Linked DNA regions of Yarrowia lipolytica. The protein of the gene in region 1 purifies or fractionates together with the protein of each later gene. This does not show direct contact. Links are inferred from orthologs where the notes say so. Each region holds a gene or a part of one and is shown on either strand. Other genes may lie near its edges. The genes, in order: YALI1_D18770g, YALI1_E40691g and YALI1_D28518g.

Region 1 (11,244 bases):
GAGAGTCACCGGGAGTCATTGGGAGGTTCATACCTGAGTAGAGTTGCAATTCAGATGACTCAATTGAGTCATGCAGAGTAGTCATCTGAGGACCCACTTAAGCGACTCATTTTGACTCCTCCTGCAGTTGGGAAGTTGGAGGTGAGAAACGTGGTAAAAAGTTGAAATTGGGCGTGAGCTACTCACCTCGGTTCGCACATACTCGAGTAGATGAATATTCTCGATCTCTATAGAAGCGATGATTCATTGGCCCCTCAGTATGTACACGGTAGTGTACGTCATGGCTGAACATGTATGTACGAGTGTACAAGTGGTGTAGGAAGTACGAGCTGGCGTGCATGTTCACTCGGAGTATGGTGGACTAGACACAATGTGGAGTGTTCGCTGTGTTTGAATCCGACGGATGTTTATCGCTGTGGAAACCTGAAAGTGCACAGTGTCAAATTACTGGACATGGATGTAGGACATGTTATTCAGCGTTGTGCCTACTGGTGGTGAGTCTTCGGTTGGGTTGAAGGACCAGGAGCAATGGACTCAGTACTCGAACAACAAGTGGTACGAAAACAAGTACTTGTAGTACGATCCTGTGTACCGGATATCAGTAACATCGGCACTCAAACATCTTCAATCAAAAGGTCCCATTGATGTGTAACGGGGAAAGCTTTGTTGCGGCTTCATGAATCTGTTGAACACGTTTATTTAGACCGCACATCTATTTTGCTACACCATATTTGTCTCTTCTGGGAGTTTTTTTTATTTTTTTATTTTATATATTTATATATTTATTTATATATATATTTATTTATTCTCCTTTTTTCCAAATTTTCCGTACTGGGGCCTTGAAACAACGACTTCAGTTTTTTTTTTGTAAAACGTCGGACGCGCCCACAATGGAGCCTCCCAATTCTGCAATATTTACGTCCCGATTTCGGCTCGAACCGACAACCTCTAACCTTATTTCCCACAGCTTCTTAGTTTTAGTCACATGACCCCCTCTACCAGCCACCTACGATATTACTCAACACATCGAATTAATAGAACGAAACCCCATGGAGAACTGGGACGACGATTTCGGCGATGAGGCAGACCTCGTGCTGCGCGCGTCTACCTCAACGGTCTCCTCTTCCGAAGACAACGATTTTGGTGGTCTGATACACAAACTGGGCTCCAACGCGACTTCAACCACCAAGTCGCCGATAAAACGACCTGTCACGAATATGAAGAACTTTCGCAGTCTGGATGACATGCCGGACTTTACGACATTACAAACAGTTCTTTCCGACGACGATTTAGAAGGATTTGACGACTTTCCCACTATCAAGGGCAAACCGCTGACGTTGAAACCACAGATAAGCATACAGAAATCCAATAAAACGACACAAGGGAAGCACCAGTCGCGAGACACTGATTGGGGAGACGACTTTGAAGATGGATTTGATCTCCCTACAGACTTTACCCCTCTTTCCGTTCGCAAAAAGACAATTTACCCCAGTGGCTTGGACGTTCCTGAGCCCGTGACGCCTACACGTTCTCCATCAAAGGGCCGCGAATCGCCCTCTACGTCGATATTCTCACCCGCTTCTTCCCACTACTCTGAGACAGACGCGCCGGAAGGCGACATGTGCGAGGGTTTCGATTTGCCCAACCTAGACAATATCGACCTTGGCAAGGTGTTGGAGGAACGCCAGAGAGTCGCCGAGGCGGAAGCAGAAGCCGAGGCAGCTCAGTGGCAGCAAAAACCAGCCCAAGATGACTTCTTTGACGGAATAGAGCTCAACGACGACTCTTTCGTGAATGTCAAGTCCACTGTCAACAAGAACATCTTGAAGAACGGAAAGTCCGTGGGTAAGCTTCAAAAGCGGAGGGCAAGTCAGAACACCTCCGGCTCGACAATGCGTGGCCTATCTCACATGCCATCTTTGCCGTCGTTGAAACCAGCTTTAAGAGTCAACCCGAGTCCAAAGCTAGCATCCAACACTAGACAAATCCGACCGGCGCAGTCCATGGTGAACATTCGAGACCGTCGCAAACAGGACACAGTCAAGGTGGACTCGTTGGAGAGTCTTCGCAAGTACAACACTGTGAAGACGTTGAGTCGACCCAAATCGCGAATCCAGTTCGATGGGTTTGAGCTTGATGATCTGGATGATCTGGATGTGGCACGAGATGCCCCACGCGACTTTGGCACAGTTACACGCGACTCCGTGAAGCCTTTGGAGGCCTACCGCGAAAGCACTGTGCGGAATCCGACATATGCATCCATGCTCAAGGCAAAGGGCCCTACGTCCCGTGAGAGCGGAGGGTCGCGTGATGGGACAATCAAAGCCCGTGACCTGGGCGGTGCTGGACCACGCGATGGAGGTGGAACGGTCAGAGTGCGTGAACCCCGGTTCCGGGCCAAACGTGGCCTCATTCGGCCGCTAGGAACTCACTTCACACCCCCGACTAACTCTTCCATGTCGTTCAACCCTACAACGATGTTGTGGGAAGGTAATGACGTCGATCTGAAGCGATTTGAGTCGGCTAAACCTGCTCTTCTTGCATTCAAGTCGACTAAGGGCGCACAGGTTGTTGGAAATATGTATTTTGACCCCGTCAAGCTGTGCTGGAAAAGCATGGAGGTGGATATTGACGAGCTTGAGGGATTGGAAGACCTGGAGGAGGAGCCCACTTCCATTGGTTTTGGAGGACGGGGTTTCAGTGGAGCAGCTGACGGGCATGAGTTTGATCTTTCTGATGAGTTTGTGTCAAAGTTGAAACATCAGGAGGAGAGATGGAACAGGAAAACAGCTGGGTGGTTCGAAGTGGGAGCCAAGTTCGATAGAGACTATTTGTGGGATCTACGAAAGTTGATCACCAATACCGCAAAGAAGTGAGGCGAAACGAACACAAAGAGATGACCATATTTATAGAGAGTATCAGTAATTTAGCTAATGAAGTTGCTGCGCATGTTTTTTTACTACATCCACCGAAAACATGAGCCTAGATTGCTTGAATATTGTTGTGATATTATACAGTATGTAGACATCCGAGCACGGGAGTATGTTTTTACGAGGTGTGACGCTATTAATTAATTCTTGATTGGGCCAATTCTCGATGGAACGTCCGGTGAATTAATCTCTCCATTACTTTTACTATTATTTGTAGATTTTCCATAAATAGTAAAATTATTGTAAAAAAAATTGCTGTAAAAAAAATTGCTGGTACGCACTTGTAACCCAAATATAATCCATCATCTATTCCTACCCGTCATGAACTCAATCTTGCTCTCTGCATCGTCTATCAACATTGACACAATGTCGACCCTAGAAGAACGAATAGCGGCGTACGAAAGTCCACAATGCAATATTCTGGATGGATTTAGCCACGAGAAGATTGTGAGCTCTGGACTAGGTCTGCTATTTGTGGGGCTGTTCATTCTTTACAAAGATGTGAAGTCGGAAGCATGGGCCTGGAGGGAGATTATCACGACCTTTGGGGTTGTGTGGCTCGTCGCGTGGCTGGTCATCCATTTTCGCTTGAACAAAAGCAAAGACAAGCCCCAAGTAAACGTCAGAAAAGGGATTGAATGAGCCTCCCATTGATATCGGCGCCTGATCCGTTGTATCAGAATGGCCATGCCTTGTCAAAGCGTACTTGTACAAGTACGTTTGTATATACACTTATTAGAATTATATTGCAAGCTTTTGTAGTGCGGAACATGCTTCCTCTTTTTCTTCTCCGATTTTGTTAGATTATTTCTGATTTTTGACGATTTTATAAACATTGTTGGATAAATATAACTGGATTATCCGTACAATTTCAACTCTTACTGTACAGTAGTATGTACATTCGTAAAATGGTATGTATCTACACATACAAGTGTAAAGTCCAGATCACTTCAGACCTGGAAGGTAACAGACCGAACCGGTTGTCTGGTTGTCTGGTTGTCTGGAAACGTGTGATCCCAGAACCATCTGGAGATTCCAGACTCTTTGGTCGCCAAGTTATACAAACAGCAGCTCACATAAAACAATCTATTACCATAATCTATTTTCATACACCCTCTAAGAAAAGTCCTCATCATCGGATTGCAGGTACTGAGCGTAGTCGTCCATGGAGCCGAAAGTAGGCAGGTCGGAAAACTTCTTCTTCTTCTGCTTCTTGTCTCCATCATCACCGGCCTTTCGCTTGAGAGTGACCTCGTCGTCAGAAGCAATGAGGTTATCCTCATCGTCAGAGAAGTCTAGAGCAGGCTCATCATCAGAGTCAGCAGCACCTTCCTCATCCTCGTCTTCAGCTTCTTCGAAGAAGGCGGCCTCGTCCTTCTTAGAGGGCTTCTCAGACTCGGACTTCTCCTCCTCCAGATCAGAATCGGAGAAGTCGGAGAAATCTCCCTCCTCGAGCTCACCATCAATCTTGTCGAGCTCAGGGTCATCAGAGAAGTCGTCCATGTCCATATCGATGTCGTCTTCTTCGGGATCAATGTCGGGTTGGGATTTCACCATAGCATCCCAAACTTCGTCGTCGTCAAGTTCAGAATCACCTCCGATATCCTGGTACTCATCCTCCTTGGACAGCTTCTTGGTCTCCTCCTTAAGCTGCTTAGGCTGGAAGTAGTTATAGAAGAAGACATCCTCGGGGGCAACCTTGTCCTTGTTTCGATCCTTCCACTCCTGAACGTTGACGGGCTGGGCAGTGTTGGAGCCCTTGAGTCCGACCAACAGGTTGTTGGCAGCAGCTCCACCAGCCAGAGGCTGCATGATAGAGTTACCCTTGAGCTTCTGCTGCTGCTTGGGGTTTCGGTAGACGAACTTGTCGAGGAAGTGGGCCAGAGAATGCAGATCAAGATCGGGCTTGGCCAGAGACTCGCCTCTGTTGACGTAGTTTTCGGCGTAGGCAGTCACCGAAGGGTGGTAGTGTCTCAGAAGGAACTGAAGCTCGTAGAGAGAGGTGGTGTTAGCGTTTGCGAACAAGGGGTCACGCTTCTTTCCATCGTAAGAGTCCTCCTTGTGGGTCTGAGACTCGCCGCTATCCACCGACTTTTTAGAGGTATCAATGTTGACCATGAGTCCATCATCTTCCTCCTCCTTGACATCTGTAAACTCCTCGAGGCCGGTAGAAACGTTGGAGAGGGCCTCCACACCGCCAGAGATCTTTCTCACTTCTCCCAGAAGGTAAACCATACCGACTACTGAGCCAGTCTTGAGCCATCCAAGAGCAACTTGCACCATTCGCTTAGCAAAGGCCTGGACTCGCTGAACGTTGGTGTCAGCCTTGATACTTTTGAACAGCAGGTTGAGGTATAGTCCCTGCTTGGAAGAATCAACAAGACGGGGATCAAGGAGGGACTCGTAGAGAGTTCGGTAATATCGATCCTTTTGAGCGTCCTGGCACACTTGGAACAAGAGAGACAGAGCCTGGATGGCTGTACCGAAGTTGGCAGAGTGAGTAATTCTGAAAAGGGAGTCAATGTGCTTAGAAAACTCAGCCTCTGTCAGATTAGAAAAGGGGAACGCTCGGTTCAGGCCAGAGAGAATAGCAGAGATGAGTTTCTGGTTAGCTTCGTCCTTCTGTGTCTCGACAGTCTTCTGCTGCTGCTTGACACCTCCCTTCTTACCCTTGCCGGCGTTGTGACGCGACTTATGCTTGCCCTTGGTATCCTTAGCGTCCTTCTTTGTGAGATCCTTGTCGAAATCGGCCTCGTTCTCCTTTAGCACCTTCTCAAACAACAGGAAGTAGTTGGTGACAAGAGTGTTGGCCAGATCAGTGTCCCTTGATGTAAGAATACTCTGGTTGAGGGTGATGGCAGAGTAGTACTGGGAATGGTAGTCAGAGCCGGGTCGGAAAACAAGCTCCCAGATGGAGTTGATTACAATACCCTTCATGGCAGGGTGGGCCTGCATGAGCTGAAGCAGGTGGTATGACGTCTGAGAGCAGACAACGGTATCCTTGTCACCCAGCTTGTTGACAGCCAGTCGGAGCAAGTTGACTTCCTGCTCAGGCTTGGCCTTGAGAAGGTCGACAATGTGGGCTACCACCGAAGACCGCAGATGGGTGACAGTGTCGTGCGAAATTCCCTCCATGATCTGAAGCAGCTCAAAGTACTGGGTCTTGAGCCAGTCTTCAAAAGCCCAGATGGCGAGGTACTCAGGTGCCGAGTTTTTCTGGACAGGCTGGTTCTTGAACCATCTTAGTTTTCGATCAGGAAGAACACCAGCGTTGATAAACAGGTCCTTCAGAGCCTCCAGACCCTGGAGAGCAGAGGTTCTGCCCTTCTTCTTACAAAGGTACATGAGCTGTTCGAACGACTTGAGATTGTGCAGAGGAGAGTCGTGGATAAGCAGGGTGTAAGTGGAAATCTTATCACTCAGAGTACCGGAAGTGAGCATCTGCTGCATGAACGTTTGTTGCGACGATTGCTGGTTGCCCTTGTATGTGTCTTGATCCTGCTTGAGCAGCTTCATACCCTGATCCTTCAATGACTCGACGTCAGTCTCTGAAATGGGTTCGAGGGTCTCAGGCACGTCAATCTGATGGTTGTACCAATCAGGACGAGGAGGCACGGCAGTGGGAGTCTTGATGTCCTGGGGGAGAGACATGGCCTCAATAAGCTTCTCCTTGGCAGAAGGGCCAGTAGAAATGATAGGCTTAGCGGGAGCAGGCTCGTCGTCAGAGTCAGACTCGGATTCTTCATCGTCCTCCTCTGTGTCCTCATCCTCGTCATCCTCCATCCCCTCATCATCGTCCTCCTCTTGTTCCTCCTCAACGTCCTCATCCTTGACATCCTCGACGAGTTGAGGAACGTCTCCATCGAGTCCAATGTCCTTCATGAACTTGAGCAGATCTCCAGAATCAATCTTGGAGCCGTTTGAAGGGTTCACAACCACATCATCCTCTCCATCAGACAGGTCCTCCACGAGTTTGAGATCCTCTTCGGTTCCTCCGAGCTCCAGGATCTCGGCCAGCAGAGAATCAGGCTTGAATTCCTTGGTCTTGGTCTTGGTCGACTTGTCCGAGCTGGAGTCCTGGCTCTTGGTCCTGGACCCCTTACTCTTCTCGGTCTTGTCAGATCCCTTGGTCTTCGAGGGCTTTACCTCAGTGACCTTCTCTTCCTCCTTCTTGCCGAACTTGGATTTGTTGAAGTTCTTGGCCTTCTTCTTCATGGCTTCAGCCTCCTCCTTCTTGCGCTGCTCATGCTCCTTCTTCTTGGCCTCTCGGGCATCGTTCTTAGCCTTGTTCTCAGCCTTGACGGCATTCTTGGCGTCCTTTTTCTTGGAGTTTTTATCGTTGGCCGTGTCCAACTTGGCCTTGATTTTGTCGGCCAAATTGGAAAACGACGATGTTTCCAGTGACATTATCGATGTGTAGTGCTGTCGTGGTGGAGAGAAAAATATCCTGCATCAAAATCAACCTTCAGATATTTTTTTCAGTCGTGCATGAACCTTAAATTATTTTCAGAGGTTATGAATGGAGAAGGACGGCAAGTAGCGATTTGAAAGACCTGATATGAGAATAAATACAGCAAGAAAAAATAATTACAGCTATAACAAACTTATAATCTTTTTTATGATTTTTTTTTTTGTATTTCTTGAAAAATCTTTTTGAGAGATGAACCGCGATAGTGCATCTTAAGTTGACAAACAGTGACATCCCCCGAGAGAAGTGAAAAACAGAAATTCTGCTCTATATATGGGTTTGTATTTACATGAGCTGGATTCGGGGGTGGCTCCTGTGTTTCCAAATGATTGCTTTGTCACCTCTTCGTACCCTGTACAGTACATACAGGGTATACGAGGCTCGTTATATGTGTGTAAAAGTGCTTATACAATTTGAGAAACACGTGATTTTGCGAATGAATCAGTAAAAATGGAAGCAAATACTTGTAAAACTCGGATATATAACTTGTAAGTATTTGTACATTGTGCTTCTACCAAGTTCCTCATTCTCTGTTCTACCCGTACGAGTACATACTTGACATTCGGTCGATCATGTCCCTGTACATACACAACAGTTGTACCGTACGCCGGACATGTGACCTTGTGAGTTCTCTAGATTGATCGTAAGGATGATACTACCCTATCTGTTTCAATGAGTCAGATATGGTACCTGTTTGAAACTTCTGGGACCCGTGGGAATCAACGGGTGTCACTAACAGCCACTAGCAATGTTCAGACCAAAGAAGAAACGAAGGTGTCTGACGGGAAAAAAACATAGAACCAACGATAAAATTGCCCTAGGGACTGCTCGACCCGATGTGTTGGCGTCTCATGTGTAACCAGGGAAGTAACAGCGGCCCTCCCGAGGTTCAACATTGTGATACTGCACGGTATTCAGACTGTAGCACTGTGTTTTTGCACGGTCGAGTATCGCATGTACTACAAAGTAGTACCTACTTTTACTCGTGGAGATTCTCTTGTGATTCAGTGACACGTTGATACCTGCGACTCAGTGCTCTGCAGCGTCATTACTTTGCAACTATGCTTGGCCATCGTACATTCCCGAGTCGATCACGTTTCCCCAACAGGAGTAAACACTTCGATACGGTTTATGGCTTGACGTTCATCACGAGATCCGAAAAAGCAAGCACAATATGTGGATTCTGGTGATTATTCTAGTCTGCCTGAACGGGGACTTCAGATACCACTTACCATGGCTACAAGTAGGGTACAAGTGTAACAGTCCAAGTCCCTTGAGATACTGGGGTTCACTTTTCACGGTTTGGTGATGATGACAATGTCGATCTTTCTTCTCCACACAACCGGCACGATATATCATCATTGACGCTGAAACAATTCACATGCTGGTTTCAGAGCCTCACCTGAGCGGACTGAGACAGAGCAAAGAGTGAGTAACTGGCTACAATAGAATCAAAAGACGCTTTGGCGAAGCAAAACGCTGCTGGTTCACACACACATATCGCTACATTAATGGTCTAAAATGTCTCAAATACTGGAGATGGATGATACATGGAGCAACTCCGGGGGGCAGTAGATATGATAAAACACTACTACAAGCAGCCATACAATTAGATGGCCTAAGTTTTCTACTGTATTATAACGTGAGTAAGAGAGCTTTTGGACTGTCTAAGTACAGTACATTCCCGTACCCACCTGTACTTTGCTTGCAGACAACTGCAGTCCTGCTTCAATTAGGTCGATGTCCGACATATCCGGAATTCAAAGCACTGTGGGTAAGTACTCAAGCGCCGCTCGTGCCTGATTCAATCACGTTCAGACACGTTACTTCGGAAAGCTGGCACCACGGTTATCGAAGAGAGTCATTAAACACGTGCAACCTAGGTTGGGCCGTTGGAGGCCGCAGGCTAGTTCCCATAGCCACTATCCATTGAATGCTGTTGTTTTTACACCTGTGGACAATTCGCTTGCAATAGTACATCCAAGCAGCCTCCATGTGAAAGCAGCATACATTACCATATCGAGCACAAGTGGTAGAGATTAACATTCATTCGTCATGTGGGGGGTGAGGGCAGAGAGAGCCTCGTCACGACTACTCACCGTGTCGCCAATGCCGGCCTTGAAACTGCTGCTACACACGGTTTTTGCGGGGGAGCCATCCACGGAGATGTTGGAAAGATAAGAATGAGACAGAGACAGAGAAAAAAGAGCTGGAGCCAAGCAGAGAGACGGAATCGAAACAAGACGACGAAATGCAGCTCCTTCACTACATACAGTACAGTAGCGTGATGAGGCCACACAAAAAAGTACTTGCGACTTGTCTTCACACCAAGTGGTCATTTGTTTTTCATGATTCAGTTATCACTCACACGGCTCGGTTGGGTCGGTTAATGCAAACCAGGGCGTTTAGTTCATCGGCTCATCGGCCTCATGCAGATGAAATAAGCAACGAGTAGGAAATAAGAAACGCAAAAAAAGATCCTCGAGGCTGGACAAGTCATGTGATGGGATTGTTAGATACTACTTGTACGGTATGTTTAGTTGAACCCCCTCCCCCCCTCCCTTGTCGTTGTACTGTTGGTTTCGGCACTCCAAGTACGGATTAACGTTACACTACACGCCATACGGCGGCCTCGGCATGGTTCGGAGGTCACCAAAGCGGCACTGCTGTTATACTGAATTGAGAGCAGAAAACTCGTGAAAATCTACGGCCTGGTAGTGATGGTTGTAACGTGTACATGCTCATTTCTTTTATACTGCAGCCGGACTCCCTTGCATCAACTAATACCTCAACTGTGAGAGGCTGCACTTTCCTCAAGAAGCAAAAAAATTGGGTTCGCGTAAGAAACTCAGTTTTCTATAAGGCACACTTTGCATCCCTCCTGTATCTTATCGAGATGAGATATGACACATCTGACGTGTCAGACTAGTTAGCTGAACATAGATGCGGTTGTCTGGGCTCGCTGCGCCTGCCAGTTGTGCTCCAACCCATCGCTAGAGACCACCCTACCTGCTTGCCGATTTTTGACATCTCAGAAATGGCCTGATAACTCAGACGTGCATATAATCTTAACCCTATCGTAACCGAAAATATGAGAACCCTCGTCCTCCTTCCACAACATGGGCGAAAATGCTAGTATCCATTATAATGGACTTGTGTTCAAGCACGTTCGATTGGGGGAACGTGATGGTCCCGATTTCGACCCCTCGCCCACCCCAGATAGTTGGGTGGGCAGTGGCACAAAAATGTGGTGTCACTGCAACACACACCAGGGCACTAAGGGCGCGTTTGGTGGCTCTTGCAAAAACAGCTATAAATAACATCCGAAACTCCGATTCAGCGTACTGTCTGCGTCTACCATGTGGGGGTTGATGATTGTTCATAGCCTGGGACGTGTCCACGAGACGGTAACTACGCAAGCGGCACCGTCCATAAAAGAACGCGAAACCAATTAGGCACAAACATTGCCTCCAACAACAACAACAACGGCGATTCGAAGCCGACACAGCCGTATTGAACGTGTTGAGACGGAAGACGGTTAAGCATTGCGTTAGATAGCGATTTTGGATACGAAGAATGGAAAATGGATTATCGCAAAATGGAGTGGAGGCACAGTATGTACATGCCTACGATACCATACTTGCACCGGTATCGTTCGTACCTGTAATTAGCCACCTTGTACAAGCACAATCTGTATGTCCCCAGCAGCTGTAATCATAGGCAGTTTATGCAATAGTAAGGGGTTAATAAAACAGACACGCCTCCAACTTCCAACCAACACTGGTAATACTGCTCCATTAGGTACATTCAGGGCAATGGCAGCGGTGGAGGCGGTACAAGGACCTA
Region 2 (8,613 bases), on another chromosome or scaffold:
GTTGTTACATACGAAGGAATCACTGTTCCAGGTAGTTCAGGCAGCCAGAGCAGGATTCCGTTGGACTCAGAGCCATTCACGATCCAGGTCAGTGCCTCCCCGACATCTTCAAAGCCTGGAGCCCTGATCCAGTTGTATGGAACGCCGATTTCGGGTTCTCAGACTATTTTCAAAGACGCTCCAGCCACTGGAGTCAGTACTTCCAGACCACCTCAAATCCCTCCAACAGGGATGGGAGCTCCTCGGTCTGCAGGAGAGCGGGTAGCATTGGGTATGGGGGTGATGTCGCTGGCTCTAGGCCTTGCGGTATGCATGTAAAACACTACAAGTAGCATTATTTATTTATTTATGACCCATTACGACTCTACTACAACTACCAGTACATACTGTACTTGTGCTCCAGCGTAGGTGACAACAGTACACGCGATACGCCAGTGGCTTGATAGAGCCAGTGGCTTGATAGAGCCAGATAACTCAACAGGGAATGTCCTGTGCTATACATAGAACAGTAAACGATGGGTGTGCACTACAAGTAGTACTTTTAATAGCTAAATGCGACTCAGTGAGAAATGAGTGTGCAGCAACAAGTCGCCTATGGGTCGTAAAGTTTAGTTGGAATTACTTGACTACTAAATCCAGCTGGGGGTACAAATTCGAGGATCCTGATCTGGTAGAGATTTGGAAAATACACCTGCCGAAATATATAAAGGCACTGAATAAGACTACTTGCCATAAATACTACCTCATCACACATAATTTGAAATTATTGTCATCTCTGTAAAACCCAGCCATCGATTTTACTTAAGATTCTAGTTGAGGGAGCTGTTTTGTTATGCTCCACCAGATCCTGGATTTTGAGTGGAAAATAAAGTTGATGTATGTTAAGGCCACCTTGAGATTTGCGGTGGTTATACAGACTGCGGGGTAGCGATGAGAGTGTAGATTTGAGAAGAAAATAGGATGATCAAACACCCCCTCGAAGCAGATTCGGCCAGGTTGTTTTATCAGGTCGTATTTCCGTCCCTGTACATACTTTACGTCATGTAGTGAAATTTCCATACAGCACGTGAGTTAACTTTTAGGTCATCCCGAATTTCACTCCACCATCTCGACCACCAAACCATGGATCTCACGACTCTGATCGACAAGCTGAACGTGAGCAGTGCCGCCTCGGCCCACGACCAGGCGTACTCGTTCGCGTGCCAGGCCGAAAAATATGACCCCAAGGACCTCAACATCCAGCGACACAAGCTGGTGGCTCTGATCCATCTGGAAAAGTTTGACGAGGCCGAGCAGGTTCTCCAGGACAAGGGAACCACTGGCCTGGAATTTGAGGCCGCCTACATCTACTATCGCCAGGGCAAGCACGCTGAGCTCGCCAAGGTGCTGGAGACGGCCCAGAAGGATACACGGCTGATCCACATTGCTGCGCAGGCTGCGTACAAGGAGGAGGACTTTGACCGAGCCTACGAGCTCACACAGGAGCTGCTGGGCACCGGAATAGACGAGCTGGATCTGCTTGTCAATGAGTCCGCCATCGTTGCCCAACAGGCGCTGCACAGACAGGGAGTGTTCCCCCTGACCATGACATCCACAGCCAAGTCGTCACACGACTTCCTCTTCAACCGGGCCATCGCCGAGCTCAGTGAGGGCCGGTATGACTCAGCGCTCGATCTACTGTCGCAGGCCCAGGTCGCGTGCTCCGAGGCAGACATGCCCGCGGAGGAGATTGACACCGTCAAGATCCAGGCTGCATACATTCACCAACTCAAGGGCGACACTGCTGAGGCCAAGCGAATCCTAGACTCTGTTGCCGAGTCCGGCTCGCATCTCAGTGGTCTGACCGATCTCGTTGCCGCCAACAATGCCGTCACGCTGTCTCCCGATATCACTTTCAACCCCAACGTGGCTCTGCGAAAGCTGCAAGACCACGGCCTGGGTCTGTCTTCCACCGCCAAGGGCCCCACTGCCCCCAACGGACCCGCCATCCAGGCCCAGCGAAAGGTGTTTGCCCTCAACCGGCTGATTCTAGAGGGATCAGCTGGCAAGGACACTTCTAAGCTGGCTAAGAAGCTCACCCGAACCTACCCTGGTCTCGTGTCTGCCCAGGTGGTTGCTGCTACCAACGGAAACAGCGATCTCGAGGACCTCATAGAAACTCTGCGAAAGCGGGACCCCAAGTGCACCAACATTGGCTCTGTTCTTGCCATTGCACAGGCCTACGTTCTGACGGGTCGTCTGCAGGCAGCCTACGACGCTCTGACCACCTACATCAACTCCCTACCCGAAAACCTGGCTCCCTACCCTGGTCTGATTGCAGCTACGTCGTCCATCGCGCGTCTCATGGGTAAGAAAAAGCTGGCTCTCAAGCTCATCGAGAAGGCCAACACCCAATGGCAGAAGAACAGCGCCCCCTACTCTGCCTCCCTGGCATACGCTCTGTCGCTGCTCGAGAGCAATAAGCCCTCCAACCAGAAGAAGGCCAAGAACCTGCTACTCAAGCTGGTGGAGAAGAAGCCCCGAGACGAGATTCCCCGAATCGCTCTGTCTGGAGCTCTGGGCACCCAGGAGGTTCTTACCCGAGAGATTCCTGATCTCATTTCTGGTGTCGATGTAGACAACCTCGAGGAGGTCGGCGTCATTATCCCCCAGTCTAAGAAGCGATCTGCCGAGGTGTCTACTAAGACTTCCAAGAAGCGAAAGACCAAGATTCCTGCCAACGCCGACCCTGCCGTGACCCCCGACCCTGAGCGATGGCTCGCCAAGCGAGACAGATCCACCTACAAGCCCAAGAAGGTCAAGGGAAAGAAGGTGCAGAACACTCAGGGAGGAGCTGTGGACGACTCGCTGGAGCTGGGAAGCAACACTGCCGAGAAGACCACTGTGGTCAAATCCAAGGCCAAGGGCAAGAAGAAGAAGGGAAAGAAATAAGCGGTGAAGGCTCAAAAATGGTTACATGTATGAAATACAGGTGTATTATATTCGCTTTGGGTATAGTAGGTAATCATGTCTAAAGTCATGGAAAGCTGTTACGTATGTCCACGTATACGGTAGCTATAGCTGATTATTTTTAATCCTGTAGTAATGTGACATAGACACGAAATCTCGTCTATAGTAAATTCAAATCCATTCATTATTTTATTGACCGATAAAGACCGATCCATGGTAGATGCACAAAACGCACATTGAAGCCCGTTTGTGCTGATGCGTGTCAGTTTTTTTTGCCTCCATCTATAAAACAACCCCCAATTCCGTAGCGTACCTCTTTGCTTAGGCGAAAAGAGTGTCCTCCTCTCGCAGGTACTCGCCGACATCTCCCTGTCGGAAAGCAACCATACCAGTGGGGTCCAGACGTCGGACCTCCAGAGAAGACTTTGCACTGACGCCAAAGCCCAGAGGAGAATCGCTCATGGAGTAGACAATGACTCCGGCATGCTCGGGAATGTCGTCGCTCATCTTACCGATGTGGGCCTTGAGAACGTGGTTACCATAGAGGAAGGGCATCTCTCCGTTAGGCTTGATCCAGATCTTGTGTCGAGCATGTGCAGCGAGGAGAGGAAGAGCGGTGATATGAAGTCGGAACTTGCCGGTCTTGGTGAACTTGCCGAGACAGGTGCCAACGGAGAAGAGCTGGGCTCGAGACACACAGGTGGCATACTTGGCAATCTTCTCCTCAACGTAGTAGACTCGGTCCTTCTGGAGCCGGAACACGTGAGGGTCTTCGTTATTGATGAAGTGCGAGATGTTTCGTCCAACGTAGTTGGCGAGCTTCTCGAACACGGTTTTCGTTTCTTCTTCGGTCAGAGGTCTCATTGTGTGTGGTATGTGTTGATGCTGAGGGCTGAAAATATTTAGCCTTGCAGGAAACGCAGAAAAAATATTTCCGAGCCGCACAGATGTTTAGTCAGCGGGAAGAAAGGAGAATGTCGTCCAAGTATAGAAACGAAAGTAAATGAAATAGAAGCATAGAGTCACTGTTGATTACGTCACTGTTGGTATTGGAACGCAACACATCTCTGTACGGATCTACGTTATGCTCGTCGAAGACTGTGATCATCGATGAACTGTAAGCAGCGAAGGAGCATTGTACCCTAAACGAAACATATTGAGAATAAAAATAATTTAACGAAACAGGGTAGGAAAAATCGAAGAAAAATCCATAAAAAACTATCAAACCACAAGTGAAGCCCCATTGGCATTGAAACAACTAATAATGACAGGACATTGAAGATAAACCTACAACCTGCACAGCCCATCTACTGAATTCTGTAGCGATGGTGTGTGAAAGATACAGCTGTGCGTTATCTGGATTCTAGCTACAAGTGGAATACCGGGATCTGTCTGGAAACACAAGACCTCCTAGACCTATATTTCTAATCACATCAGATGCAGCAATGCACCAAAACTACCAGTACGTACGTGTACTCGTACAAGTACTGTAATTGCTTTAGTCACTCTAAGCTCGCCATCTGGAGTTTGTCTGTCTTGTCTCTGCTTTCTGTTATTGTCTCAACCTGACACTAATTACTTACTTGTGCTGTCATGGACTGATTATGGTTAAACCCACCAATAAAAGCATTCATATTAGCAAAAGTGCTCAGTGTCCGAGATAATGAGGGTTAGAAACGCCACCTGAGACGTGTAGTCCAATTACCGCTCTGACCCTTGTACTGTGCAAATACAGCGTCTCGTCTCGCACATGTCGGTGAATAGTAAATAGTGTTCAAGGCAGGCACGGCTCCTCTTGCCATCACCACATCATGTACTGTACAGTACGGACCACAGAAGGCTCGAAAAGCAGCATGGAGTGATGATTTCCGAAGCGACAGTGTGTTGCAATCCTTTTTGTGTCTGTGTCTCCTGACAAGTGCCCCAACCTCATTGGATGCTCTTTCTCTCTTCACCACCAGTTGAAGCTAAATCACATCCAGTTGGGGGTGTCTCGGGGCTGGCGTAACAAAATGCAGACGGATGCAGAGTGGATGCCTTGGTGGATGTGGGGGGTCTTTGTCCACGGAAGTGGGTAATCACTATCGAGCTACTTCTGGTGGTACTGTAGTACAAGTCGACTGTGTCCAGCACAAGTCACAACCGGTTTTGAGTGAGAAGCTTTGTTCCACCTTCCAAACTCGTTCGACACTTCTAATTGCAGCCTTTTCATCTCATCGCAGTCATCACAGACCTGCTTAAGCGAGCCTGTCTCCCTGTGCACAGTATGTACAAGTAGGGTTGCTAATTCTATTTGGGAGGTGACATCCATAAGCTCAGAACTGGTGCCTTGATGCCCAGTACTCGTAACCCGCGGGATACTCAACCTAGATGACGTGCGGCGGCTTCTGGCCTTTGTGTGTTGAAATTCTTGTACATATTGGAAGTGTAGTGTGGTGGTGGCGGCGGTGTACATCCAGGTGTACATCCAATCCTTATCCCTGGATCATTGCACTCCTCAGAGTCTACATGACCCGGCTGGTTGGTGTCTCCACTACGACACAATTCTATGCTGCAGACCCACACCCAAAAGCAGGCCTGTCGCACCTCATTGAACACGGTCACCTCCCTCCAAAGCACAGGATGCCGCCTGAATAGCAATACTTCTCCTCTCATTGGACCCCGGCTGCAATTGGCTTTACCGTTTGATCTGTAACGTTGTTCAGGGAACCGTGGCGCAGGTGGTCTGCAACCTAGATGATTGCTATCTGGCCATATTTGGGCGGCGGATCCGTATATAAAGCGGAGTGTAGCTGTAGTCAGCCCCCACGATCAATCCACCATGTCCAAAGAACTCTACGCCAACTCCAAGGACGACGCTGTCTACTCCTACTCCTTTGGAGTTCCTTACCCCCACCATCCCTACTCATCTCAGCGGGCCGGCCCTACCGGCCCTCTGCTGCTCCAGGACACCTATCTGATTGACGCTCTGGCCCATTTCGACCGAGAGCGAATCCCCGAGCGAGTCGTCCATGCCAACGGAGGAGGAGCCCATGGCTACTTTGAGGTGACCGATGACATCTCCGACATCACATACGCCGAGCCCTTCCAGAAGATTGGCTACAAATGCCCCACCACCGTGCGATTTTCTACCGTTGGTGGTGAGCGAGGCTCTCCCGACACTGCTCGAGACCCCCGAGGTTTCGCTGTCAAGCACAAGACCGACTGGGGTAACTGGGACATGGTTGGTCTCAACTCTCCTGTTTTCTTCATTCGAGATCCTGTCAAGTTCATCCATGTCAACCACTCTCAGAAGCGAGACCCCCAGACCAACCTGACTGCCGGAGATGATGCCTCTAACTACTGGAACTATCTGGTCCAGAACCCCGAGTCTCTGCATCAGGTGGTGTACATGTTTGGAGACCGAGGTACCCCCAATGGATGGCGACACATGAACTGCTTCTCCACTCATACTTACAAGATGATCAACAAGGAGGGCAAGCTGACCTACGTCCAGTTCCACTACAAGTCCGACCAGGGAGTCAAGAACTTCACCGGACCCGAGGCTGCTGAGATGGCTGGAAAGAGCCCGGACCACGACCAGAAGGATCTCTTCTTTGCCATCGATAACGGAGACTACCCCTCCTGGACCGTTTCCCTTCAGACCATGACTCCCGAGCAGGCCGAGGAATGGGAATACTCCATTCTGGATATGACCAAGACCTGGCCCTATGACAAGTTCCCTCTGCGAAAGGTCGGAAAGCTGGTGCTCAACAAGAACGCCGAGAACTTCTTTGAGGAGATTGAGCAGGCCGCCTTCTCTCCCTCCAACCTGATCCACGGTATCGAAGCCTCTGATGATCCTGTTCTCCAGGCCCGACTCTTCTCTTACCCCGATACTGCTCGACATCGACTGGGTCCCAACTTCAACCAGCTGCCTGTCAACCAGGCCCGAACCTTCCAAAAGGGATCTGGCTGCCCATTCATGGCCGGAAACTTCCAGCGAGACGGAAACATGGCCATCCACAACCAGGGCAACCGACCCAACTACCTGTCGACGATCCGACCCATCCAGTCCGTGTCCGTACCCAACGAGGACTTCAAGAACACTCACGATTACTGCGGAGTGGTCACCAAGGAGATGGAGGACGAATCCTTCAAGGTCCAGGCCGAGGCTGCCAAGAAGCACAACGAGAAGATCTGGGAGAGCTCGTCATACCTGTACTTGTCTGGTTTCCAGGAGAGCGATGCAGCCCAACCCCGAGACCTGTACGAGAGAGTGTACGACGATGCTGCCAAGCAGCGAATGATTGACAACGTTGTTGACCATGCCTCCACCATCAAGCAGCACGGTCTCAAGGAGCAGGTCGCCAAGTACTTTGGCCGAATCAGCGACGATCTTGGCAAGAAGATCGCCGAGGGTCTTGGTGTTCCTTACTAAGCGTAACACTTCCGTTTCTGCTCGGACTTACAATAAAAGACTGCGATAATCGCATATATAACTTAATCCTATCTATATTCATAACTCGCTATCGATAATGGCACTCGCATAAACCATGTGTATGAACGTTAGATTAGGCGAGGGGGTGAGGGAAAGGAAGATTATCAGATATTGGGGGATTGTGTTCAGGTGAACGAATTCGTTCCTGTACTCCTCCTACGAGTAATTGTACAGGTATGTACTTGTTTTTGTACCCTGAGATAGGACTTGCCAGAATGTCAATAGACAACAGGTAGTGTATTATCGTGTGAAGACGCAGAAGCAGCAGCAAACGCTAGCCAGTCTAAAAAACGACTATTAATGTCTTGGCTGTATATTTGTTGAAGCCACACCGCCTTCATTATTTTCACACGGCACTGCAATCCCGACAACCACGTTGTTTTTTTGGTTTTTTTGTTTTTTTTTTTCACTTTCAGCCAGCTTTGCCTCAGAGTTCCGTTCACGCAGAGTTTCTCATATTGAGAACTGCTACACTGTTTGTGGTGATGATGGAATGGGGGAAGGTGGAGAGTGAGCTTTTGGACCTTAGCAATGGTTAGAGAACTTGGGGATAATTGTAATAAACATTGCAATAGTACACAGCGTGGGTACACAAGGAGGTTACTTAGATACCAATACACAACCTTGTATCGGAACACCACCCCCCCTCGATCGTGAACCGCAGAGTTGCTAAAGTTCAGTCCCGCCAACTCCGACCTGATAACAAATATGCGGTCGATAGAAAGTCTATGTGTCTCGAGGAGCCACCGCAAAGCTGTGGAAGGCCCCATTATCTCTGCACGAGTAGGAGTAGTAGACTGCTAGCCGCTTACATCCGTTGCCTGTTATTACAGTGGCTAATTACTGGCACCAGCAGCTCTGGGTGTGTCGGTCAACATTTAATCGGAGTTAAACTGTGATCCATTCCCCCGGGCTGGAAATGTCAGCATGGTACTAATCCATGGAGAGACAGTGCATTTCGCACATTTCCTACTACGGAAACTGTTTCCTGAGACGTAGGTTTCGTAGTCCACGCTGTCCGCACAAGACACGTTTTCCGTCTCCTCCTAACTTCAAAATGTCTCCAGGCCTTGGAGAGGAGAAGGTACATATGCATGCACAAGATATGAGGATGTAGTTTCCTCTTTGGGAAAAGACCCTCGGCAAACAAGATAACTAAAACCCCCTTGTGTTTTGGTAGTTGC
Region 3 (10,722 bases), about 970 kb from region 1:
ACTCCAAAGACGTCCTCCATGATGATCTCAGAACACAGAGCAGCCACAGGATCGAGATCGGCGTGCTCCAGAGTCATGGTGGACAAAATGTACCAGACAGTGTAGCCCAGAATATGCAGATGGGCTCCTCGTCGGAGCGCAGACTTGAGTTCTCGCAGTAGGAAGAGCAGGTACCTGGCCCCCAGAATTTCGGCAATCTGGCCCAGAAGCTTCCGCATCTCGTCTCGGAGCTCCTGCTGCTTGGCTCTCATAACCTGACAGAGAGTGGTTAGGGTACCAGGCAGCACGGTCATGACCTGGGCAGGAGGCAGAGCAACAATGAACCGCACGACGGGAATACCGAGAGGGATTCGGTCGGTGAGCTGCTCATTGGAGTGGGCACGAAGAGTCTTTCGAATGGGAGGAATCACGTTCTCCAGCAGGAAAGCGGATCTCTCTTCAGGGGTAGAGGTGGTTCCAAACAGAGACGTGTCCATGGAGATGAGTTTGGGAGCTCGTGGAACAGTGTAGACTGCATCTGAGTAGTTCTCACGGTCATCAGACATGGCCTCGTCTTCGACCTCTTCAGCAATTTCCTCGGTGTTTTCCTCCTCTTCCTCTTCGTCCTCCTCCTCGCGGGAGTCGTCCTCGGTGAAGGCCACACCAAGAGCAGCTAGCATTCTGGAGGCCTGCTTCAGGCTCTGGCAGCCCTTTCGGAGGTAGCCCACGAACCGCTTGCTGATCTTGACGTACTGCTCCCAGGTGACAAACCGGGTCATGGAACCAATGCACTTGTAGGTCATATGGGCTAAGTTCTGCGTCTCCTGGTTGTTTCTCTTTCCGTAATGCTCAATCAGAGGCAACAGAAGGTTGGCAATGTTGTCTGAAGAAATAGCCCCCTTTCTGACAAAGTAGTTGAGATACTGCACCGCCTTTTGTCGTCGGAGAATCTGCACATGCATCACGTTGTAGAAAAAGTTGGCATCAGCGGACTTGTTGGGAGCCAAAAGAGTGACGAGGTCGTTCAGGGGCTCGAACAAATGACGCTCAGACAACTTGACGAGGTTCTCAAGAACCTGAACAAACTCGATTCGAATGTTGAACTGCGGCTCTCGCATTCCCACCACCAGTTCGGGCATGACAATGTCGTCGATGAGCTCAATCTTGTCGGGCTGGGACTCTTGAATTGACTCGAAGAACCGCATCAGCACCAGAGTGGAGTTCTGTCGGATCGGCAGATCGTCAAGACGGATGAAATGCAACATGTTACTAATTAGAGGAGTCCACTCCATGGCAGAGAAAGACGAGAACTCCCGCTGAGTAATATCGTTGTAGGCGGCCATTCGAGTGTCCCAGTCGGGCTCATTAAGCCGCTTGCCAACCGAGTTAAGCTGGCTGACAAGTTCAGCCGTGCGATCGACACCTCCAAGCTTGGTGCAGACAACACAAAAGGCGTTCACCAGCGCGTCACGTGCACTCTGCAACTTGATGGTCTGGAAAAGAGTGGACAGGTTCAGATACATTTCAGTCACGTGCTCCTTGGCGAGGGTGGTCACCGGAACCAGCTCGGTGAGAGCGTTCAAAAGAGACACCTGAATGGACCACGATACCTTGTTGTTCACCACCAGATCGGTCACAACAGCAATCAGATCGCTCTTGACCTTTTGATCACGTGCATAGCCCTTCTGACACGTGATCACCAGCAGCTTTGCAATGGTGGTCACGACGTCAAAGTTGCGCCTGTGCTCGTCCAGCAGGGCGGGAATGCGGGGCAACAACAGAGGAATCGTCGAGTCGACCACGTGATCAAACTCGCCAGCATTCACTTGATCCTCAATGGCGAAAATCGAAGACCACAGCAGAATGCAGTCCTTGATGGTCGAGTCGGGCAGATCAGACACCTTCAACAGAGCCACCACCTGCTTCAGCAAAGCCACCTCCTCAAACACAAACAGGGGAAAGGCCTGCGCACGTGATCCCCACAGAAACGTGATCTGGAGCAGAGCACTGGGTCGCTTGGTGTTTCCAGCAACAAAAGTCGGCAGCTTAGATTCTATACAAGGGTAGTAGATCGGGGTCAGGTAGGGCTGCCATTCAAAGTCCTTTATCTTGAGGAAGAGCTGAGTCAGCACCTTGAAGCCGTACCGAGACATTCGACGAGCTGAGGTGTTGTCTGGAATCAGACACGAATAATGCATACAATACAGCACCGAGTTGAGCAGAATGTCCATGGACGAATGTAACTTGGCTCCAATCTGCTTACCCAGATCCATGGCCAGCTCCAGAAAGAAGATCTGAGACGCCGCAGTTCGAGTCTCGCAGTTGCCCGACAGGGTCTCCAGGTCGCGAGGATTGGGCTCGATCACGTGGTCATCACCGAGAATGTCAAAGTCCTTGGGAATCTCCAGCTGGTCGATTGCCAGAGAAACAAACATGCGAGTGTACTTTTCGGGTAGAGCCAGAAGAGTGGAAAGCACCGCGAACCGCTTTCCGTACCGCGGTCCACTCTTGCTGACCACTCGAGATCGTCCGTAGAGAATCCGGAGCGCCAGAGGGAAGATGACATGCTCGTCGTCTTCATGCAAAACTCGGTCCTTTGAGGGCTTGAGGAAGCTCAGCATCTCGTCCTTGAATTGCGAGTCCTCCAGCAAGTTGAACAGATTGTCCTTGTACTTGCGAACCACCTTGTTCTTCCAGGATAGGATGCACTGAAGAGCTGCCTTCTGAACAGAGTTCATTTTGTTGGTCAGAAGCAGCAGGTATCTCTGATAAATTTCCTCGGCTCGAGGACAGTTCTTGGTGTTGTGAAACAGAGCAAAAATGTCCAGCAACACAATCTTGTCCTTGAGGGTCCACGAGTCGGCAAGTCCATACTCGGAAGACTCAACAGCCTGCTTATCTCGAGAAACACCCTCAGTCCAAAGAAGATAGGGAACCAGCTCCATCACATGGTTCTCAGACACCCGAGGAACAGCCTTGAGCACCTTCAGCACATTGTTTCGCAGGTAAAAGGGCTCCTCAGCAGGGAAAGCCGACTCGGAAAAGTCCTCAAACAGAGCTCCGTTGCTATCGCGAGAAACAAGCTCATTGTACGTCTCAAACAAACCATTCAAGTTATAGTCGGGAGACATGGAGTCGGTGAAGGGGCTGTCCAGAACATGACGTGGCTCGGGCACCCAGTCGTCATCAACCTTGACCAGGTCACGTGCCTGCAAAACGTTGTAGGACAACTTCCACACCAGCTCCGGAAATCGTTCGGCAACATTCTTGAGGGCCTTGATGGCAGCCTCGTGAGCTGGCGTAAAATGAACAGTAAGAAGTCCAAACAGGAAATGAGGCACTGCTGAATCAGCAATCGTATCTGACCCAGACAGGGAGAAGGTTTCTCCGAGCTTCTCGATTCGCTGAACAAGAGACCGCAACGTGGTATAATCAAACGGAATGGATGAAATGACCTTGCACTCATTGACGAGCGCGTTCTGGCCACGTGACAGCTTCGAAATGAGGCTCAGCGTCACGTCCCGCACGTGGGTGTTTGCGGAGGTCAGGTTCTGGGTCAGCAGCACCAGTGACGAGTCATCCAGCTTGGTTGAAGAGTCACAAATGGCCAGCAGACCGGTAATGTAGCCTTCGATTTGTGAAAAGTGTTCCAGGCGGCCCAGGGCTCGTTCCACCAGCTGCTTATCGTCTCCCAATGACCCAATCAGACTCAGAGTGACTCCGTAAAGAGCTCCAGTATACACGTCGTCAGCGGAGAGCTTGGGGAGTAGCTCAATGGCAAACTCGGTCATCTCCTTCTTCATATCGACATTAGAAAGTTTGGTGAACATTCTGATTCGCCAATAGAGGTTGAAGACTGTTTCAGTGGACATGTTCTTCTTGCCAAACGCTACAATCTCCTTCTTCAGAACCTTGCAGGCATCCAGACACTTGATCTTCTCCAGACTGTCGACAAAGAGTGCAATCTGCGAAAGATCATCAGAGAACATGCTGATCAACTGAGGAATGTACTTGACACAGATATCGGTGAACCGTTGACTCTGGACCTTGGCAAGAATTTGGAACGCCACAAAGTATTGCTCACGTGATTTGGACGACAGAGTGGTGAGCAAGGACGTATGGTTGGCCAGCACATTGCTCTGGGCGCCGTTCTGGATGAGCGAGACCACCAGGAGCGCGAACTCGACAATGGCCTTGTCGGAGAGAGTGGAGCAGAAAGCCTTGGCCTCCTGGAAGACTCGAGCCCAATCAGGAACTCGGGAACCCTTTCGGATGGCGGTTATAGTAGTCAGATAGGTCACAGTATCGTAGTTACCGTTGCCTTGGGCATACTGGTAAAAGGTATCAAACACGGCCTGGCCCATGACAGGGTCCTCAATATGCTCCAGCACAACGGCCAAAGTCTCTGAAATCATGGTCACGTGTACTCGGTCGGCCTCGGTGATTGTGTTGTCGTCACAAGCCGCACATGCAAATAACACTTGAAGAATCAAGTCCGTCTTTGAATGAAGAGCTCCCTTGGTGTGTTTGATAGACGCAGCAAACATGGCGGAGACGGCAGAGACGTAATCTCGTGACGAGCCCTCCAGCGTGCTCATCACGTGCGGCACGATCACGTCCAGACCGTCTTGGGAGCACTTTCGGATCAGAAAGGCCAGTGTTTCCGAGGCAAATCTTCGCACAAACGGTCTGATTTTCTTAGGCTTGGGCTTGTCATCCTCCTCGTCGTCAGAGTCTTCCTCCGGGATCTCCTCCTCGTCTTCTTCTCCGTTCTCAATCATCTGCACATCTTCATCTCCTCGGGACAAAAGTACACTGACGCTGTCGTACAGGGGCACCAGGTTGCTAGTCAATAGACGAGCCAGGTACTTGAAAATGTACACCATTGCGTTGAAAGTGTGCTCGACCACCTCGAGATTGAAGTGGTAGGTGAGATTGATGAGAAGTGCGAGAGTTCGGGGGAAGTATGGCTCGAACTCCTCGCCCAGGTCGCGGACAAAGTTGGTGAGTAGACTGGGTTAGTTCTGTATCGGGGACTTCCTCTCCATCCTCCATTTCTCATACTCACTCTAGCAGGGCCTCCACACTGTGTTCATTTCCATCCTCCAGACACTCCTCCAAACCATCGAAAATCTCCTCCTTGTGGAACAGCACCATGGGCAGCGACACGGCGTACTTTCCACATTTTTCCATAAAACGAGTGAAGCTGGTGGACAAGTTCAGCTCAACATGGGTCGTGTAACATGCAATGAAATGCGACGTGTCCGTGTCCCGCGACAGCTTTTTCTTCTGCCGTTTCAGCGGATCGATCTTGATGGCATCAAGACGTTCTCGGAACGATTTGAACTGCATTAGTATGGAATTGAATGTCTCAGCCCAACAGCTGATCCGGTAGGTCTAACGTATCTCCTGGAGCTATGATCCTGGCGGTGGCGATCGCCCAGTAAGCACAGCTAGTGACATCAGTATGCTCGTACAGACCCATGAAAACCGTCTACGATACTTGTAGCTCGAATCGATCTCCAAATTGCCACCCAGATCCGTCTTCGGCTACTGTTTGCAGATCCACATGGAATGGCGCTCCACTCCTCTCACAATCGCTCTAGAGGCGGTCCAACAGCTCATGTGCCCTCCATGTCGCCCATACTCACTCGGTGGTTTTTACCCGACTCGGTTCCAGTTTTAAGAACCATGTTGGACCGTTTCTGAAATTTCGTAGATGTCTGTTTCAACCTCTCGAAAAAAAATATCTTTTAGACTTGCAGTATGCATGTGCGGGTTAGGGTTAGTGGTGATGATAGTACTGTACCCAGGGTGGTTCGGAGATGTGAGTTCGATTCTAGTGACTGTTTTGTGTTTGAGGTGTTTATTTTGGTGTTTAATTTCAGTGGTGTTTTGGTAGTCACATATTGGTGGCTACTGAGCGGTAGATTTCAAGTAACTTGGTAGTTGGAGGGGTTGTCAAGTAACTGAACGGTATTTTAACACTGTTTTTTTGCTAATTTTTTTCCTAAAAAGTCTTTTTTTTTTCTTTTTCAAGACAGTATTTTTTAACGCTGTTCTTTCCGCTTTTTTTTTTTTTTTTTTTTTTTTTTTTTGTTCTAAAAAGATTTTTTTTGTTTTTAATATTTTTTTTCTGTATTATTTTTTTTTTTTTATTTTTTTTTATTTTTTATTTTTTTTATTTTTTATTTTTTATTCATTTATTTATTCCATTTATTTATTCATTTATTTATTTGCACAGTCCTAGTGCTCCTACCCTTCGAGACTGCGGAGTCTCTCACACCTCAGACTGACATTCTCCAACTTCCACATTGCAACTTCACCATTGCAACTTCAACATTGCCCGGTTACACTTGACGAAAGCACTCGCCAGATAAAACAGCGCTAAAACGACTATGGATCGCTTTATCCACATGGCAACAAGTCTAGAACTAGCGTCGAGTGGCTCCACAAGCGTCGATAATCGCCGTGAAACTTAGCCTGTTCCACTAGCTTCGGTATCGGTGGTTCTAGACTGCTCCTAAACGGTCCATGGTGTGGCCTTAGCTGTTCTCTACACCACCCAACTAGTTGTAGGGCTCTGTTTACGAGCTCCTCTAGCCGTCGATAGTGTCGTATCTTCGACTCTCTACACGAATCTATGTCCAGCCTATCAACAGACGACCCACCTCTTTTTTCCCCCATGCTCGTATATATTTGGCCGATTATGCAACAGGGGACACCTGTCCACAAATGGTCCTGCAGGGAGGCCGATAACTGAGGGCTATCAGTCTCTTTTCGGTTGCCCTTTCTTCCGCCTAGTCCGCAAGTGGTTCGGAAATGGCACTAAGAGATAAAAAAAAAAAAACCCCCAGGGTAACATGAGCAAGATTTACCGTTGGGGGGGAGGTGGAGAAGCCGTCCATAACAACACCCAATGTTGCCCGAGCTGATTGAACGAATCTGCAGTTATCTCGAGCTGGCAGACATTGTTGCGCTGCGAAAGACCAACCGCCACTACCGCCAGTCCATCTCCGAGTCGCTGGTGCGGGACAAGCTGATGCAGCAGTGCCCCTACTACCGCCTTGAATACAGCCAGCACGGGAGCTGGAGGACCGGCGGCGCCCATTACGTGCGCGACAGACACATTGACGTGTTCATTGACCTTGTGGAATGCTCCTTCCACACTGACTCGCCTCTGCCGCGCGACTTTGAGTGCCTGTGTACCGACGTGGAACGCACATTTTCGTGGGACTACAACAACCGGGGCATTTGCTTCAACGAGAAGCAGCTGGACCTCAGCGATCTGAACACGGACTTTGCTGTGCCTTGCAACTACGGGGTGAGCTTTGGAGATGCAGGAACAACCATCAAATACCACGGGTTTGGGGTGACGGTCGAGGGACGGATGATTCAGGCCAGACACACGTCCCGGGCCATTGCAGCAATATCTGTGCATCAGGGCCATTTGATGTTGACGGTCAAGTACCCCAACAAGGCTCCTGAGTCGATCAAAATGAACTGCAAGCCTCCCTTGCGGCTGCAGGTGATCGGAGACTGTGTCTATGTATTTGGAAGACACGATCATACCTCAGTCCTGTACTTGATCACTCCTACACGGTGTTCAGAGATGCTACACGCTCAACGGCGACAGCCTCCTGCCGGCATGGTTCTTTACGATGGAAATGTCTACAATGTCGATATGGACGGACGATACCGGTGTTCGGTCACCAGAGTCACTCACAGGATCACGTCCGACAGAAACAGACCCCCAGACAAGTTCCACAGAGTGTACCAGGACGAGAAGCATTCGCAGTACTGTTTGATATACAAGTCCACGGGTCTAGTTACTGGCATTGTCGATTTGAAGAAGCGACAGAAGAGCATCCTGTCGCAGATCTCCAGCGACATTTTCGCCGACTACAACGGAGCTAACGAGCCCGAAGATCATTTGTTGATGGTTGGTCTGAGCCATGGAACTGTGGGGTGTTGGAGGTACACCATGAAATATCTGGCTGAAAAGTACAAGAGCCAGCATGGAGCCGAGCTGCCTGTTGAGCTGCGGGCGGTGTTGAAACAGCGGGCGGTGAGCTTGAGTGAGGACGATGCGCGTGGACGGCGACCGGTGACCAGGGAGTGGACCACGGGGGATCTTTTTGGCAAGAGTTGGATGAGTATGTCATCAAAGCGGGAGAGTTTCTGACGTGGAACAGAAGGGATCTGATGGGACTCCTAACAGACGTTGAAACACGCACAACAATCGCAACTGTGTGACTCCCCTCTAGCCGATGACGCCGACATCACCAGAGCCAGACGAACAGACGTACATCCAGTGCACGTGTACATGGTCGTATGGAAGATGGGCTAGTCACTGAGGTAGAATGAATTCTACAACCAGTCTCAGATTCTTGTTCTACATCTGTTGAAAAGCCCTGTTCTCACTCTAGACAACTTGGTAGCTAGGTAACACCTAGACATTGACACTACCGGTCGAGATACAAATGTCCGCCGTTCGAAAAAAAAAAAAAAAAAAAAAAAAAAAAAGTCTGGAAACGAAATTGTTTATTTGCGGTTTCTTTCCTGCTCCTGGTCGACCTCAATCTCCGGGGTCCCACCGATAACCGCCGTATAAGTTTCGGGTGAATTATTTGTATTTTTTGTATTTTTTTAAAAAAAAGTTGCATATTTACCCCACACTTGGGGCCGAGGAAGCCGCACGCATCATAACGCACGCTTCATAAAGCTGGATCGGGGAGCGGGGTGACCCTAAGAGTGTTTCAGGTGGGGGATTTAGAGGTATATTTGGATCCAAAGACTCTATAAACAAGATGCACTTTTCCGTTATTTTCTACGATATCTTTTGCTGATCTTGTCTACAGTAACGTACATTGTACTCATTGATAGTAAACAATGGCTTGATCACTTTTCAAGCTGAGTCCCTTTGACTGCCGCAATCACTTATCATTCCACACCCCTTTTCTTACTCAGTGACACCCTTTCGTTTCAACTCAGTGATTCACCGACTTCCCAACTCGGTTACTCGGTGATTCAACTCCGTTACTCAGTGATTCACGGCTCAACTCAGTGATTCACGACTCCCCAACTAGTGATTCAACCTCGTGACTGAATGACGCCAAAAAAGAGCCAGTTTAGCCCCATTATTTGTCACGTGACCGGTGGTTTCGCATTCATTATTTTCGCCTTTTTTGCTTGTCTACAACCCCCCGCTACCGACTGTTGCTGCTCGATGACAAAGTTTGCTGCCTGGTGTGAGATAACGATAAAGATATTTTTGGCCGCGTGTTTTCAATATCCGTTATTGTCCCCAGAAAACCAGAAATAAATTGCAAAAATTCAGAGCGGCCCTCAATTGCAATATCCAAGGCGTTCCACACCGAGTTCGGGGGTCTTTTCACACATGTCTGCTGACTTAACGTCTCAACAGACAATTTACTCGCATGGTACATGCCAGTGACTCTACAAACACCAATCGCAACAAACAGCGGCCATTACTGCCGATTCATGTGTGAAAACCGCCCTTGTAAAATGGACCAATCACATTCACTCATCCTAACCTCTAGATTTACCGGTGAAAACCGACCCCGTGCCATACCAAAACACTCCATTATCCAGCACTCTTGTCGCTCCCCCCTCCCACTTTACTCAGTGACTCAACAATAAAGTTTGAAATTTGCGGATAAGCGAGTCGGCCCGTGTTTTGTCCTTGTCGGGGCGTTTGTGGGGTTCAAAACGGCATCTAACATAAATACCACGGTGGTCCCGGCTCCCTCTGTCTCTCTTGAATCCACCTGTCTTTTTCCCTTTGCGCTACCTCCTCTTGGTCAGTCCCTTGCACCACCCAGCAGCCTCCAGTGTGTTCATTGTACTAACCTCACCACTTCCTACTAACTCCACCAATACGCAACCGATCGGGAATCCGAAACCGCCATTCCAACCCGACAGTCGCCCCCATACCTTCAATCTACTCGTCCAGTCTCTGTCGTGTCTCCAACCCCGACTCTTTGCCCCATCCCCACCCCCCAAATTAACTTTCGCTAAACTCAGTTTACGGAAAAATCCACCTCCCGGTGTAACCACTTTCTGATCCCACGACACAAGTCTCCACCCCCAAATGCAGCGATTCACTCGACTTTCCCGGCCTCTCAACCGAGGCCTGCTTCGAGCCTACGCCACCAAGGCGTCGCCCGATACCCAGATGACTCAGCAGACCTTGTACGCGTCCGATCCCGAGATCGCAGACATCATCAAGAAGGAAACCGACCGGCAGATCGGCTCCATCACCCTGATCCCGTCGGAAAACTTCACCTCGCAGGCCGTCATGAACGCCCTGGGCTCCGTCATGCAGAACAAGTACTCTGAGGGCTACCCTGGCGCCCGATACTACGGTGGTAACGAGTTCATTGATCAGGCCGAGTCTCTGTGCCAGAAGCGAGCCCTGGAGGCGTTCAACCTGGACCCCAAGGTCTGGGGAGTCAACGTCCAGCCCCTGTCTGGTGCCCCCGCAAACCTCTACGCTTACTCCGCTGTCATGGAGGCCGGTGACCGACTGATGGGCCTGGACCTGCCCCATGGAGGCCATCTCTCCCACGGCTACCAGATCCCCTCCAAGAAGATCTCCTACATCTCCAAGTACTTCAACACCATGCCCTACCGACTGGACGAGTCAACCGGTCTCATTGACTATGACACGCTCGCCAAGAACATTCTTCTTTTCCGACCCAAGGTGCTGGTTGCTGGAGC

What was found.
Region 2: the proteins of YALI1_D18770g (region 1) and YALI1_E40691g purify together in Saccharomyces cerevisiae (affinity purification with mass spectrometry, with the first as the bait; 3 studies listed by BioGRID). This does not show direct contact. The link is inferred for Yarrowia lipolytica from reciprocal best matches to the Saccharomyces cerevisiae genes MAK21 and NIP7.
Region 3: the proteins of YALI1_D18770g (region 1) and YALI1_D28518g purify together in Saccharomyces cerevisiae (affinity purification with mass spectrometry, with the first as the bait; 3 studies listed by BioGRID). This does not show direct contact. The link is inferred for Yarrowia lipolytica from reciprocal best matches to the Saccharomyces cerevisiae genes MAK21 and UTP20.

Annotation. Positions count from the first base shown.
Region 1 is NC_090773.1:1,873,144-1,884,387, reverse strand, and holds YALI1_D18770g (uncharacterized protein), read right to left. Parts: upstream 7,338-11,244; coding exon 4,047-7,337; downstream 1-4,046. Other genes in the region: YALI1_D18833g (uncharacterized protein), read left to right, coding at 1,050-2,876.
Region 2 is NC_090774.1:4,064,326-4,072,938, reverse strand, and holds YALI1_E40691g (ribosome biogenesis protein NIP7), read right to left. Parts: upstream 3,814-8,613; coding exon 3,271-3,813; downstream 1-3,270. Other genes in the region: YALI1_E40744g (uncharacterized protein), read left to right, coding at 1-318; YALI1_E40718g (uncharacterized protein), read left to right, coding at 1,123-2,931; YALI1_E40671g (uncharacterized protein), read left to right, coding at 5,771-7,369; YALI1_E40647g (uncharacterized protein), read right to left, coding at 7,648-8,199. UniProt on the Saccharomyces cerevisiae protein: Required for proper 27S pre-rRNA processing and 60S ribosome subunit assembly.
Region 3 is NC_090773.1:2,846,750-2,857,471, forward strand, and holds the start of YALI1_D28518g (uncharacterized protein), read right to left. Parts: upstream 5,673-10,722; coding exon 5,631-5,672; intron 5,326-5,630; coding exon 5,048-5,325; intron 4,993-5,047; coding exon 1-4,992. Other genes in the region: YALI1_D28537g (uncharacterized protein), read left to right, coding at 6,899-8,164; YALI1_D28569g (uncharacterized protein), read left to right, coding at 10,094-10,722. UniProt on the Saccharomyces cerevisiae protein: Involved in nucleolar processing of pre-18S ribosomal RNA and ribosome assembly.